Linked DNA regions of Mus musculus. The protein of the gene in region 2 binds, or shares a complex with, the protein of the main gene of each other region. Links are inferred from orthologs where the notes say so. Each region holds a gene or a part of one and is shown on either strand. Other genes may lie near its edges. The genes, in order: Aup1, Ube2g2 and Amfr.

The links.
Region 1: the proteins of Ube2g2 (region 2) and Aup1 are in contact, whole or in part, in a crystal structure (PDB 7LEW), measured with the Homo sapiens proteins. The link is inferred for Mus musculus from reciprocal best matches to the Homo sapiens genes UBE2G2 and AUP1. Residues at the interface, in NP_003334.2 of Homo sapiens: Tyr13, Thr17, Pro20, Gly23, Ile24, Val25, Ala26, Gly27, Pro28, Met29, Asn30, Glu31, Glu38, Leu40, Met42, Glu45, Glu50, Phe51, Val53, Pro55, Lys156, Val159, Gln160, Ser162, Leu163, Leu165; in NP_853553.1 of Homo sapiens: Ser379, Arg382, Gln383, Leu386, Arg389, Lys390, Leu393, Tyr394, Tyr396, Ala397, Arg398, Arg400, Phe401, Thr402.
Region 3: the proteins of Ube2g2 (region 2) and Amfr are in contact, whole or in part, in an NMR structure (PDB 2LXP), measured with the Homo sapiens proteins. The link is inferred for Mus musculus from reciprocal best matches to the Homo sapiens genes UBE2G2 and AMFR. Residues at the interface, in NP_003334.2 of Homo sapiens: Tyr13, Leu16, Thr17, Pro20, Gly23, Ile24, Val25, Ala26, Gly27, Pro28, Met29, Asn30, Glu31, Glu38, Leu40, Met42, Glu45, Glu50, Phe51, Val53, Val159, Gln160, Leu163, Gly164, Leu165; in NP_001135.3 of Homo sapiens: Ser574, Ala575, Arg578, Gln579, Met581, Leu582, Arg585, Lys586, Leu589, Leu590, Ala593, Arg594, Arg596, Phe597, Leu598, Lys600.

What each region holds. Positions count from the first base shown.
Region 1 is NC_000072.6:83,053,612-83,057,332, reverse strand, and holds the start of Aup1 (ancient ubiquitous protein 1), read right to left. Parts: upstream 2,813-3,721; 5' UTR 2,638-2,812; coding exon 2,501-2,637; intron 2,423-2,500; coding exon 2,285-2,422; intron 2,205-2,284; coding exon 2,054-2,204; intron 1,828-2,053; coding exon 1,643-1,827; intron 1,436-1,642; coding exon 1,363-1,435; intron 1,267-1,362; coding exon 1,193-1,266; intron 966-1,192; coding exon 899-965; intron 792-898; coding exon 689-791; intron 575-688; coding exon 455-574; intron 356-454; coding exon 240-355; intron 120-239; exon of another isoform or gene 58-119; coding exon 1-57. Other genes in the region: Htra2 (serine protease HTRA2, mitochondrial), read left to right, coding at 2,907-3,412, 3,516-3,720. UniProt on the Homo sapiens protein: Plays a role in the translocation of terminally misfolded proteins from the endoplasmic reticulum lumen to the cytoplasm and their degradation by the proteasome. Plays a role in lipid droplet formation. Induces lipid droplet clustering.
Region 2 is NC_000076.6:77,621,416-77,625,158, reverse strand, and holds the start of Ube2g2 (ubiquitin-conjugating enzyme E2 G2), read right to left. Parts: upstream 2,839-3,743; 5' UTR 2,786-2,838; coding exon 2,743-2,785; intron 1-2,742. UniProt on the Homo sapiens protein: Accepts ubiquitin from the E1 complex and catalyzes its covalent attachment to other proteins. In vitro catalyzes 'Lys-48'-linked polyubiquitination. Involved in endoplasmic reticulum-associated degradation (ERAD).
Region 3 is NC_000074.6:93,978,079-93,981,721, reverse strand, and holds part of Amfr (E3 ubiquitin-protein ligase AMFR), read left to right. Parts: intron 1-1,300; coding exon 1,301-1,404; intron 1,405-3,643. UniProt on the Homo sapiens protein: E3 ubiquitin-protein ligase that mediates the polyubiquitination of lysine and cysteine residues on target proteins, such as CD3D, CYP3A4, CFTR, INSIG1, SOAT2/ACAT2 and APOB for proteasomal degradation.

The DNA.
Region 1 (3,721 bases), on a different chromosome or scaffold from region 2:
AGACTTGGCAAACGTTAGGGCTGTGGGCTGAGGGGTCGCCAGGCCCGAGCTGGGGAACTGAGGTGATCACAATGTCAGAGGGCTTGCGAAGTCATCATCATTATACACCCATCGAATGCCTACTTTGCAAGAGAGGCACTGTGCTAGGGTCTCAACATCAAGGCGAGAAGTCAGGGAGAGGGAGCAGAGACTGCCCAGACCTGCCCTTAAGTCTTGGCCTTGACTACTCCAGGTCTCACCTTTGGGGCAGAGGGTGCAGGCGGGGACTGAGATCCCTCAGTGACATCTTCAGGCATGAAAGCCACAGCCCCCTCGAGCAGGTTTGTGATGGTCAAGTCTACACACCCAGTCCTGGCTGGGAAGAGAGGGGCAGAGTGTCCACTCCCTGTACCCCTTCTCTGTTGAGACCCATTTTCCTGTGTCTGCCATTCTGTGATGCTACCCTTTCCCATACCCAGGTCTCTCTGGATGACATTCAATGGCACATGGGGCAGAACCTCCTTGACTCTGTGAGCGAGAGTGGTCAGCTGCACATCAGAAGAAGGGCTGGGAGGAGAAGGAAAAGAAGACTGCACTGTTTAAAAGAAAAAAAAATGAGGTGAGTGGATTACTGAGAGAGGCAGACACGCGTAAGGAGGGAAGCAAAACCACCAAGCGCAGCAAGCATCTTTGTGCCCAGATCACACACCTGACTGGGGGCGTAATCTGGGGTGTCTTTGTCGCTTCATGTGTTCTGCTTTGTCTGCTGGAGTGAGCCGTGTCCCTATCTGGCCCAATTCTTTGGCCACCAGCTAGGGAGAATTGGAAGGTTATAGCTGTAGCCTCGTCAGGTCTTCTTCCCCTTCTCCCCAGGAGGGAGGGACCCCCCCACTTCCACCACACCCCTGTTCACTACCACCTGTTGTACACGGAGCGCAAACTCCTCACTCTCTTCCCCTAGCTGTCGACGAATGGGATGAAGCCACCTACAAAAACCAGAGCCCTGCCCTGTTAAGTCGACAGGGGCTAAGGGTATGGCCCTTCCCCATTTATCTTGGAACAGTGGTGGGGAGAGTAGGGAGATGAAGATAAGTGTTGCTTCTGTTAGAACTTCGACATTAACAAACCACAGGCAGACAGGATAGTGGTCACTACTTCCATGCCCTTGAGGTGAACACCTTCCCAGCCACCAAAAACGGAGGACAGTTAGTACCTTACTTGATACACCGTGAAAGGAACAAAAAGGGACCACAGCAGTTCTGAGACCCAGGAGGCATCTGACACCGTCTGAGGGGAGGGCATGAAGTGAGGTCTAAGCCAGGGCCACAGGTGGGAAACTTCCCTTCCAGACCCCAGAGTAGTCCCTGTCCAGCATGCACTCACCACAGAGACCAGGGGTCTCTGAACTTGCAGGGTAAGAGGTTGTACCACGTCCTGAATAGAAAATGGCCACGAACTAAGAGAGAGGGAGAGAGAGCGAGTAGTATGGGAGTTCAGCCTAGCCCAGCCAACCACTTATATCTGACTTAAACTAGTAAACTGTCCAACTCCATAAGCAGACAACTGAGGAATTAAGAATTTCGAGGGCAGGGCTAAAAGTGGGCAGACAGGAAAGGAACTAGGGCACCCACTCAACTGGAGCCAGATGCCTGCGCTTACCCACCTGAAACGCAGCAGCCCTTCTCGGCCATTGGTGGCCTCTTCCTCGGGGAAGAGCAGCAAAGGTGTGGGCGGAAGCCTCGTGGAAGCACAGAATTTCTTGAGTGACTCCACCAACTCCACCCGCCTATCCATCTCCATGAAGCCCCGAGACCAACACACAAAGCTGGGGGGACTATTGAGTAGAGGCTGAGAACGGGGAGAAAAAGCAAGAAGAATGGAAGGAAATGTCAAAAAGAGAAAGAGAAAGGAAAAGACAGAAAGAAAGAGGAAAAGGGTGACACGTGAGGTGGCGATTAAGGGGCTGGGGGAAAGGCTCGGTGTTCCCCAAGAGAATCCCAATGGGTAAAGGGGAGCCTTGAGCTTGGGCCTGGGGAGCCACCCGGTGGCGCTCTCGGCCTCGCCCCCCACTCACGGTGCTACAGGTGGTGAGGAGGTTGACTATGTTGTGGTCAAAAGGTGTTACGTGGTTGGAAATAAGGACCCTGACGCGGTGATCGCGGAGTCCGGAGTCCTCCTGCCGGGCCACGAGCCCCAGGACCGCACACATGGTTCGTACCACGAACCTGGGGACACAGGCGGCGGTGACCGTGCGGTCCAGAGCCCAGCCCAGCCCCGATGCTCCCCCGGGCGCCGCGGTCCGCACCTGCGGAGGACGCTGTCGGGCAGAGCGCAGCTGACCAGGAAGACGTGGAGCCCGAGGAAGAGTCGCAGGACCAGGAGGCAGAGGCCGACCGGCGCGTAGAGCAGTAGCGCGAGCAGCAGGAAGCCGTCACTCGGGAGCCTGTGGCGAGAGGCGACGCGATCAGGCGCCGAAGCTGACAGGACGCGCTGACCGGTCTCTTCCCTCCGCAGCGCTTACCGGTGCGAGTCAAAGAGCCGCTCCGGCCCCGGAGCTGGGGGAGGTTCCATCGCAGCCGCTTCAGGAGAGCGGGGCCGCTGTCGCCGCCATCTTCGCAGGGCCGCGGGGGCCCCTGGGAAGGCGGAGTCTTTGGGCATCCGCCGAGACGCCAGAACCTGAGGCCCGGAGGCGCCCCGGAAGGGCTAGCGTTCCCAGCATGCCTCGCGGCCCCGGGGAATGTGTGTGTATGTGTGTGTGTTTGTGTGTGAGCGTGTGCGTATGCTGGAGAGGAGCGCGTCCTGACGGGACTACGTTTCCCGGCATGCGCTGAACAGCTACCGTCGTGCCCTGCTTCTCCTAGACCGCTTGCCGGGTTCTAGAGGACCGCCTCTGAGTAGGGCGGGCGAGGAGAGTCGAGGCGGAGCTGATGGCTGCGCTGAAAGCGGGGCGGGGTGCAAACTGGAGCCTTCGGGCATGGCGGGCTTTGGGGGGCATCTTCTGGAGGAAGCCTCCCCTGTTAGCTCCTGACCTCCGGGCTCTGCTGACGTCAGGAACTCCTGACTCTCAGATCTGGATGACTTATGGGACCCCCAGTCTCCCGGCCCAGGTGCCTGAGGGGTTCCTTGCATCACGGGCAGATCTGACGTCTAGGACCCCGGATCTCTGGGCACGATTGAATGTGGGGACTTCAGGCTCCAGTGACCAGGAGGCCCGCAGGAGCCCTGGAAGCCGTCGGCGCGAATGGCTGGCGGTGGCGGTGGGCGCAGGAGGTGCAGTGGTGCTGCTGTTGTGGGGTTGGGGTCGGGGTCTTTCCACGGTGCTGGCTGCTGTTCCTGCTCCGCCACCCACTTCTCCCCGGAGCCAGTACAATTTCATCGCAGATGTGGTGGAGAAGACAGCCCCTGCTGTGGTCTATATCGAGATCCTAGACCGGTAATGGTGAAGTTGACCAGGAGGTGTTGAACTGCCGTTAGTGAAGGCAAGGGAGCAGGATGAGGTGGAAGCTGCAGTGTAATGGGTACTTTCCCCATCCCAGGCACCCTTTCTCCGGCCGTGAAGTCCCCATCTCAAACGGATCAGGATTCGTAGTGGCTTCAGATGGGCTCATCGTTACCAACGCCCACGTGGTGGCTGATCGGCGCCGAGTACGAGTGAGGCTGCCTAGCGGGGATACTTATGAGGCCATGGTCACAGCTGTGGATCCCGTAGCAGACATTGCCACACTGAGGATTCAAACCAAGG
Region 2 (3,743 bases):
TGAGATGAGAGAATGCCTGCTTATGAAAAGGCAGTGCATCATAGCAGGGAGCAGCAGCATGGCCAGGCAACAAGCAGGGGAGGCACTGAGAGCAGATCCTTAAGGGGAATGCAGGGACCCAGCCTTTCTACTTCTCCCGTGTCTGGCCTTAGGTGAACAGCTCTGCTCTGGTTCACGCCCCTACTCTGACGTGCTGCCTTGGTGGGCAGAGACACCTCCTGCCTCGTCTGACAGGCCAAGCTCGAAATTCCCAGGCTCCACACAGAAGGGAGATGTGACCCTTGTCAGTTGTCCTAACTTCTGCACATGCACAGTGGCACTCGCCTGCCCACCCACAAATACACAAAAACAGCTGTCATTGTAAAACAATCTCAAGTCTACCCCAATGTGGGAACTGTGACACTGTCTGGAAACAGTCTCAGCAGATGTACCAGAATTAAATACAGAACATTCTGACTAGGCTGGGCCCTAAGCCAGTGACTGTTGACATTTCAAGTGGAAAAATCTGAATACCGACACACCCAGGCTCAGATGGCCACAGGAAGGTACAGGAGAGGAAGGACTTACACTAGCACAGCTAAGTAACCCGCAGTAGCCAGCACTCTAGAGCTGAGAGGGAGGAAGGACCTTCCCCAAAAGCCCACCCTGCCTAGGGTGACAGCCCAGGCCACAAGTGGGCTTCTAATTCTATCTCCAAACCATGAGATGCTGTCTGTTATGGTATCTGAGTGGTGACAATGTTACAACAGCCCTGGACCACTGTTCCCTTGTCTGTCACAGTAAGAAGAAAAGCTGTGGAAACATATGACAAGGACACAAGAACACACACTGTTCTTACAGAGGAACCAGGTTCGAGTATTGGCACCCGTATGAAAAAGAGGCAGGCTTTATTTACCATGGGTGCCTGTAGCCCCAGAGTTGGAGGCAAGGGAGGAAACAGGAAGATGTCTGGGGCTAACTGGCTGGCCATTCTAGCTGAATTGATGAGCTCCAGGTTCAATGACAGGCCTGGTCTCAAGAGAAGAGGGTGGAGAGTGAGCGACAGAGTGGGACATTCAATATCCGCCTCTGCGTGCACAGGACACTGCACTTGGGAGCAGTCTAAGGTCTTCGCTTGGCTCTTTTTGTGATATGACCACAGTCTAATCGTTTTATATCTGTTATTCAACTGCTATAAAAGAAAAACAAGGAGCCTGAAAAACAATAGGGATGAAGAGATGACTCATAGATTTTGTTGCTCTTGCAGAAGATCCAGGTTCTAGTTCAGCACCCACACAAAGACTCACAACCAGCTGTAACTCCAGTCCCTGGGGATCTGATGTCATCTTCTGACATCCACTGGCACAGGCACACATATGACACACTTACCTATGTGTAATCAAAATACTCATAAAAATACACATAAAAAACACATTAAAAAAAAGTTAGACAATGAACCACACTCAAGGTCATATCGCCTCTAAATCTACAGTACAATCAGGTATGCAAGAACACCTTCGCTCTAGCCCAACCTCGGATGTTCTAATTCAACCTGGATGTTCCTGTTGAATCTACCTAATACTAGAGTACATGGTCTTAAACAGAGGACAAACCTTTTATACCATAAAGGAAGAAAAACACTCAGTGGGACTTTTATTGAATTCACAAGGACACGGAAAAAACCTCCCTCCCTCCCTCGCTCCTCGTGCTTTGTACTGCTGGATGCATTTCCATCACTGCTGCCACAGGCTTAAACAATATCCATTGATGACCTCATGGTTTCCATGTGGGCTTGGGCCCAGCCGAGACAGCTGGTTGTTTCAGGGCTGCAACCCAAGTCCATTCAAGTCGCTGGCACAACTCAGTTCCGTATGGCTGTAACACTGGTCCCAGACTAGCTGTCAGCCTGGGGCCACCCTTAGCTCCCTGCCCTTTTTTTTCCTCTTCCAAGAAGCCACAGCAGGTGGAGTCCTTCTCCTCTGTGAACCCCCTGAGCCCCTCGCCAGCCTTCCTATTTTAGAGTTCCCTCTTTAACCAAATTCCTTCTCTCTCTCACACGGAGATGATTCACAACCTTAACTTCAAATTAAGTGACAATACGTTTTGTCTGACGTACGAGTAGAGGCTTTTTGTGGCGGATAAGTTTTTCTCTAATGTGAATACCCTTGGGTAGAAGTGGTCAAAACTTAAACCCCTGTCCCGGAGCTTAAATGCTGTTCCCTCTTTTTTAGATAAAGGGGATGTGTCTCAATCTAGACACAGAGCTGAAAAAGTAAAACAGAGAGAAAAACAGATCCGGATCCAAGGAAACTGTCCGGAGCCCGTGTCCGAGAAACTTTGGTTTTCCCCAGCAACTCGCACCTGCGGCGTGGCCGGGGGTTTGAGGCGTTATCTTGTTTATTTTTAACTTTCTCCCCCAACTCCCCTCGACGGCTCGACCACCTTACGGGGATTACCCGGTACTCGCCCCGCAGCATCAACTGTCGGGAGGGCAGATGCGCAGCACACAGGGGCTTAGGGACCAGACCCGGGTGGCAGGGCCACGGCGGCGCTGCCCCGGCCGGCTTCTGAGCCCAGGGCCAGCCCCGCTGCCGCTGGCTGGGGTGCGCAGGTGACGGCGACAGCCTGGCCTTTTATCCGCACGCGGAATCTCGCAGCCCGGCCCAGTACCCCCGCACCGCACCGCACCGAGCCGAGCCATGCCGGGCCACGCCGCGGGCGACTATGGGGAAGAGGACAGGAAGGCGGCGCCGCCTGACTCACGCTTATACTCGGCCATCAGCCTCTTCAACGCCGTCCCCGCCATACCGCGGAACCTGCGTTCAGCAGCCTCGCCACATCCGCGCCGGTCCCGCCCGCCCGCTCCGACGCCCACGACTGCTTCCGGGTCGCGGGCTCCGGGCGCAAATGCATCCGGGGCGCGCGCGGGTGACGTGGCGCACCCGGGTGCTTCAGACAGGCTCGCTGGGGTTCGCCTCGCGCTCCCCGGGTAATGGCCCGGGTCGACGGAGCTCGGCTTCCAGAATCTTCTCGGCCGGCCACACCCTCAGCATTGAAGGTTTCCTACGCCGCCGTGAGGCTTTGCGCAGCTCGCCCTGCGGCCCTTTAGTCTTGAAAAATAGTGCGAGAGCTAATGGCTCATCATGGATTGTTCCTGAATGAGACTCATGTCCTTGCGCTTGGGCTCGCCCCTCAGAAGTGGCTGTCCAGATCGTGAAACTTTCCCCTTGTAGGCATGAATGTCCTAGAACTCATTATTTAGCCCAGGCCGGCCTCGAATTCACAGAGATGCCACCTGCCTACCTCTGTCTCCCAAGTGCCACTACACCTGGTTTTTGAGGCCCAGGTGATTTGAGATGACACTTCTAGCAAGAGAAAGAGTACCTTGGTTTCACAAAGGAAGGATAAAGTTCCCGGGCCATATCCCATCCTCTCTGGCCAAAAAAACTCAGACTCTGCCAAGTAAGCTGTACTTCCTCATCATACGGAACTGCCAGATAGATGCTTGGTATTTTCTTAGGTGCACCACTGCCTTCGCTAAGTGGACATGAGGGATACAGCTCGGGACGTGGCTCTCCGAAAAAAGGGGCTTTCAGGACTAGGTGTAGGGACAAAGAGAAAGTTCCTGCTGGGACCCTGAGTATAAGAAGCTGAACTCAAAAGATTTGAGGCATTAGATTCATCACATTTGTCGTTTTAAAAAAGAATATTAAGGGGGCTGAAGAGATGGCTCAGCGGTTAAGAGCACTGACTGCTCTTCTGGA
Region 3 (3,643 bases), on a different chromosome or scaffold from region 2:
GCCTCAGCTACAGCCAGCCAGTCAGCTTTATTTGACAGGTAAAGCTTCCAGACAGACAGCGATTCCTAAGAGCCAAGCACAAGCTTGTTCTCGCTCAGTGCTGAACTCTTCCATGTGGGCCTCAGCGTGCTAGTCCAGCCCCTTACCTCTGAGCCATGTAGTTCCAGCCATTTTCTGATTTCTCTTTGAGACAGGGTCTCATGATGTTTCTCAGGCTGGCTTTTCACTTGTTAATTCTCTTGTCTGTACCTCCCAAGAAGCTGGGATTACAGACCTGCACCACCAGACTTGCTTACTAGGTACAGCTTCTGAAATGTGTTGGCAGATCTTGGAGATGGAGATATATATATATATCCCATCACTTTGTCCCTTGTTTTGGCAAGATCCCTTGTATCGCATGCTGCAGCTTGGTCGTAAAGCAATACAACCCCACACATGAAGCTCTGAAGCTTGATCTGAATGTTTTGTAGTTGGCACATGATGGCTTTGAATTGTGATCCTAAAACAATAGAAACGACACCTGCTAATGATTACATCACTCCACAAACCTATGTTGGAGAACGCTTTGAAAAAGAATTTATAATCTGAAAACTAAGGTAACCAACCCCCCATTCCGCAAGGCACTGTTTCATTGTGTAGCCCTTGCTGGCTTGGGGTTCACTATGTTGACCAGGCTGACCTTGAATTCACAGAGATCCTTCTGCCTCTGTCTCCCAAATGATCAGAGTAAAGGTGTATATTAGGGAATGGAGGTGTGTACCTCTCTTGAATGGGTAAGAGAACACCCCTATACCTATTTAAAACAAGGCATTCAGCACAATGCCCAGACCAAGGTTAAGTTATATTAAGCAGAAAGTACTTCATGAAGGTAATGATGGAAATGGCTCATCCACATGAGGAGTAATTTGTGCTGGTTGTAGCAGAGGAGTGGACCTGAGCTGCTAGAGCAGTTTCGGAGTCATGGGAACCCTTGACGAGAGAAGGGATTGCAGGTGGAATGGCTGTCTGGCCTCACGTTCTGCCACGTCATTAACCTGTGTGGTCTTGGATGTGTTTCCCTAACTTCTCAGTGCCTCAGGGACCAAAGACCAAGGTTGGGGCCAGAGTCACATCTCTCAGGGGAGTGGAAAGCACGTGTAGGTTTTGGTGAGGACAGAATAAACTAATCTGGAGAAAACACTTGGCAAAAAAGGAAAGCATAAAGAAAGCCCTCAGGCACTTGGTAGAGTGCCTGGAAACAGATGACACTGGGGCAGGGACCAGGGCACTAATTCTTGTGTTGGACTCTGATTTGTCTTAGGGTCCCGGATTGCAAGCTGGCTGCCAAGTTTTTCAGTTGAAGTGATGCACACTACCAACATTCTTGGCATCACGCAGGCAAGCAACTCTCAGCTAAATGCCATGGTAAGAATTGCTGACTGTTTAAGATGAGAACTAGTGAGTGGTCAGGAGGGCACAAGGAGCTCCATGACATGTGAATAGTGTGGCGGGGATAGGGTGGCGGGGATAGGGTGCATGACCTTGCTGGTTTCTCATAGCACAGCCAAGTTTTCAGGGACCACTTCCATTTCTTTCCATTCACTCCTCTCTTCTTTGTCTCCCTCCCCTCTTCTCTCCCTGTCTGGAACAAAAGATTAAATCCAGGCCTGAATGTACTAAGAGTGCTACCTCAGAGCCTTGACACGATAATAAGCTGGTGCTGACTAGTGAGTGCTCAGGTAGTAAGGCAGGCAGCCCACACCAGTCGGGAACTTGCTTGTGTTTTACCTGTGGCAGTGCTCACTACCAGGTCTACCTTACTGTGACCCAAGCCCACGCTGAGACTCCTTGATTTAAGCAAACATTCAGAAGGAAGTATCAACAAGAGTGAACAATATAAAGAATTACATAAGAATTATCAAATACATTTTTTTTGTTTCTTTGCCTCCAAAGTGTTGTGTGTGTGTGTGTGTGTGTGTGTGTGTGTGTGCATGTCTCTGCACCTTGTAACTTTGAGGCATGCTGTTGGCTCAAGGAAATTGTCCAAATACTTTTTGTTTTTGTATTTTTCTGAAGCTGTGTATTTGGTTTTTGGAATAGGGTTCTGTCTGACATGGAATTCTATGTAGAACAGCCTGCCTGCCTTTTTTCCTCCTGAGTGTTGGAACTGAAGGCATGTGCCACCAAACCTGGCTAAAAGTCTGTCTCTGAGCTGGGTGTGGTGGTGCATGCTTTTAGTGCCAGCACTTGGGAGGCAGAGGCAGGAGGATTTCTGAGTTCGAGGCCAGCTTGGTCTACAGAGTGAGTTCCAGGACAGCCAGGGCTACACAGAGAAACCCTGTCTCGAAAAACAAAAACAAAAACAAACAAACAAGCAAAGGAACAAAAAGTGTGTCTCTGTGAGTGGACTGTACTCAGCTCAGCAATTGCAGTGCCCTCAAGGCAGACAAGAGTCTTCTTGGGAAGGGTGGGTTGTGTGTAAGCTCAAAGGTTGGCAAGATGGTTGGTGTATAGGAAGGAAACAGTTGCTCAGGCTGTGGTGAGGTTGTACTGGGAACTTGGGAAGGGTTTGTCAAAGGAAATTCTTTTCTTTTTCATCCCTTCCTCTCTCCCTCCCTGGTCTCTCCCTCCCTGGTGGAGCTCTTGGGAGTTAATCCTGGGTATTGCTTATATGTTCGGGCTCCTTCTTTCCTCCCCTCTGCCTCTGTCCCCTTCTCTTCTTTCCTCATGCTGGACACTAAGTCTAGGGCCTGGGCCTGCTAGGCAAGGGTTTTGCTACTGCACTACACCCTCGTCTCCCTGCTTTCGGAGATAGGTTCTCTAGTCCAGGTTGGCTTGAACTCATGATCCCCCTGCCTCAGCCTCCTGAGTATTGGGATTAGAGAGCACAGCCATGGGTTGTTTTTTAGTGAGGAATGTGTGACTAGGAATGATCTTTAGAAAAGTAGAAGTTGAGGTACAAAACCAGGAGAAATACTGACTGCAAGGGTACCACCCTTCAGGTGAAGGGGTAGGGTGGAAGTGGGGAAGGGAAGAGAGCTTTAAAGACAGAAGGAGGGGTGATAGAGCTGCGGACAATGTTTGGGGTTTGGGTGAAAAAGGAAAGATTGATTGGCTTACAGTAGGCTAGAAGTAGAAGCAGTTTGAATGTGAATGAATGGACAGAGAGGAAACTTGTGCATATAGTGGAATAGTGCCTTAAAGCTGTGGGGATTCTGGCCCTTGCTATCCTGTGGAGACATGCGAGGCCAGTATGCAAAGGGAAAAGCTGCGGATAAAAAGACAGGATAGAAATGGTTTTTGATCACAGCAAACATAGAAAATGCAGGATACACGGCTCCTGCTGTCTCCCTCTTGCTCCTTCCTCTGAGATCATCACCATGTAAACAAACATAGGTGCTCTGGGATGGAAGAGCGCTGGAGGGCTCTTGGCTGACTCTGGCTGGCAACAGCTTCATTCCAGGAGGTGTGAGCCTCCTGAGAAGGGGTTGGTTTAAAATCTTAGGTAGGCCCTATCAGCTCTTTAGTCTACTTCAGATGATTCAAATAACTAATTTTTAGCACAACGAATTTACTGGAACTATGCATTTTTAATTAAAATCTAGTATTTAACTGACTGGATTTTCTGGTAGAAAGATTTATGATAGAAAGTTCAATAAAATGG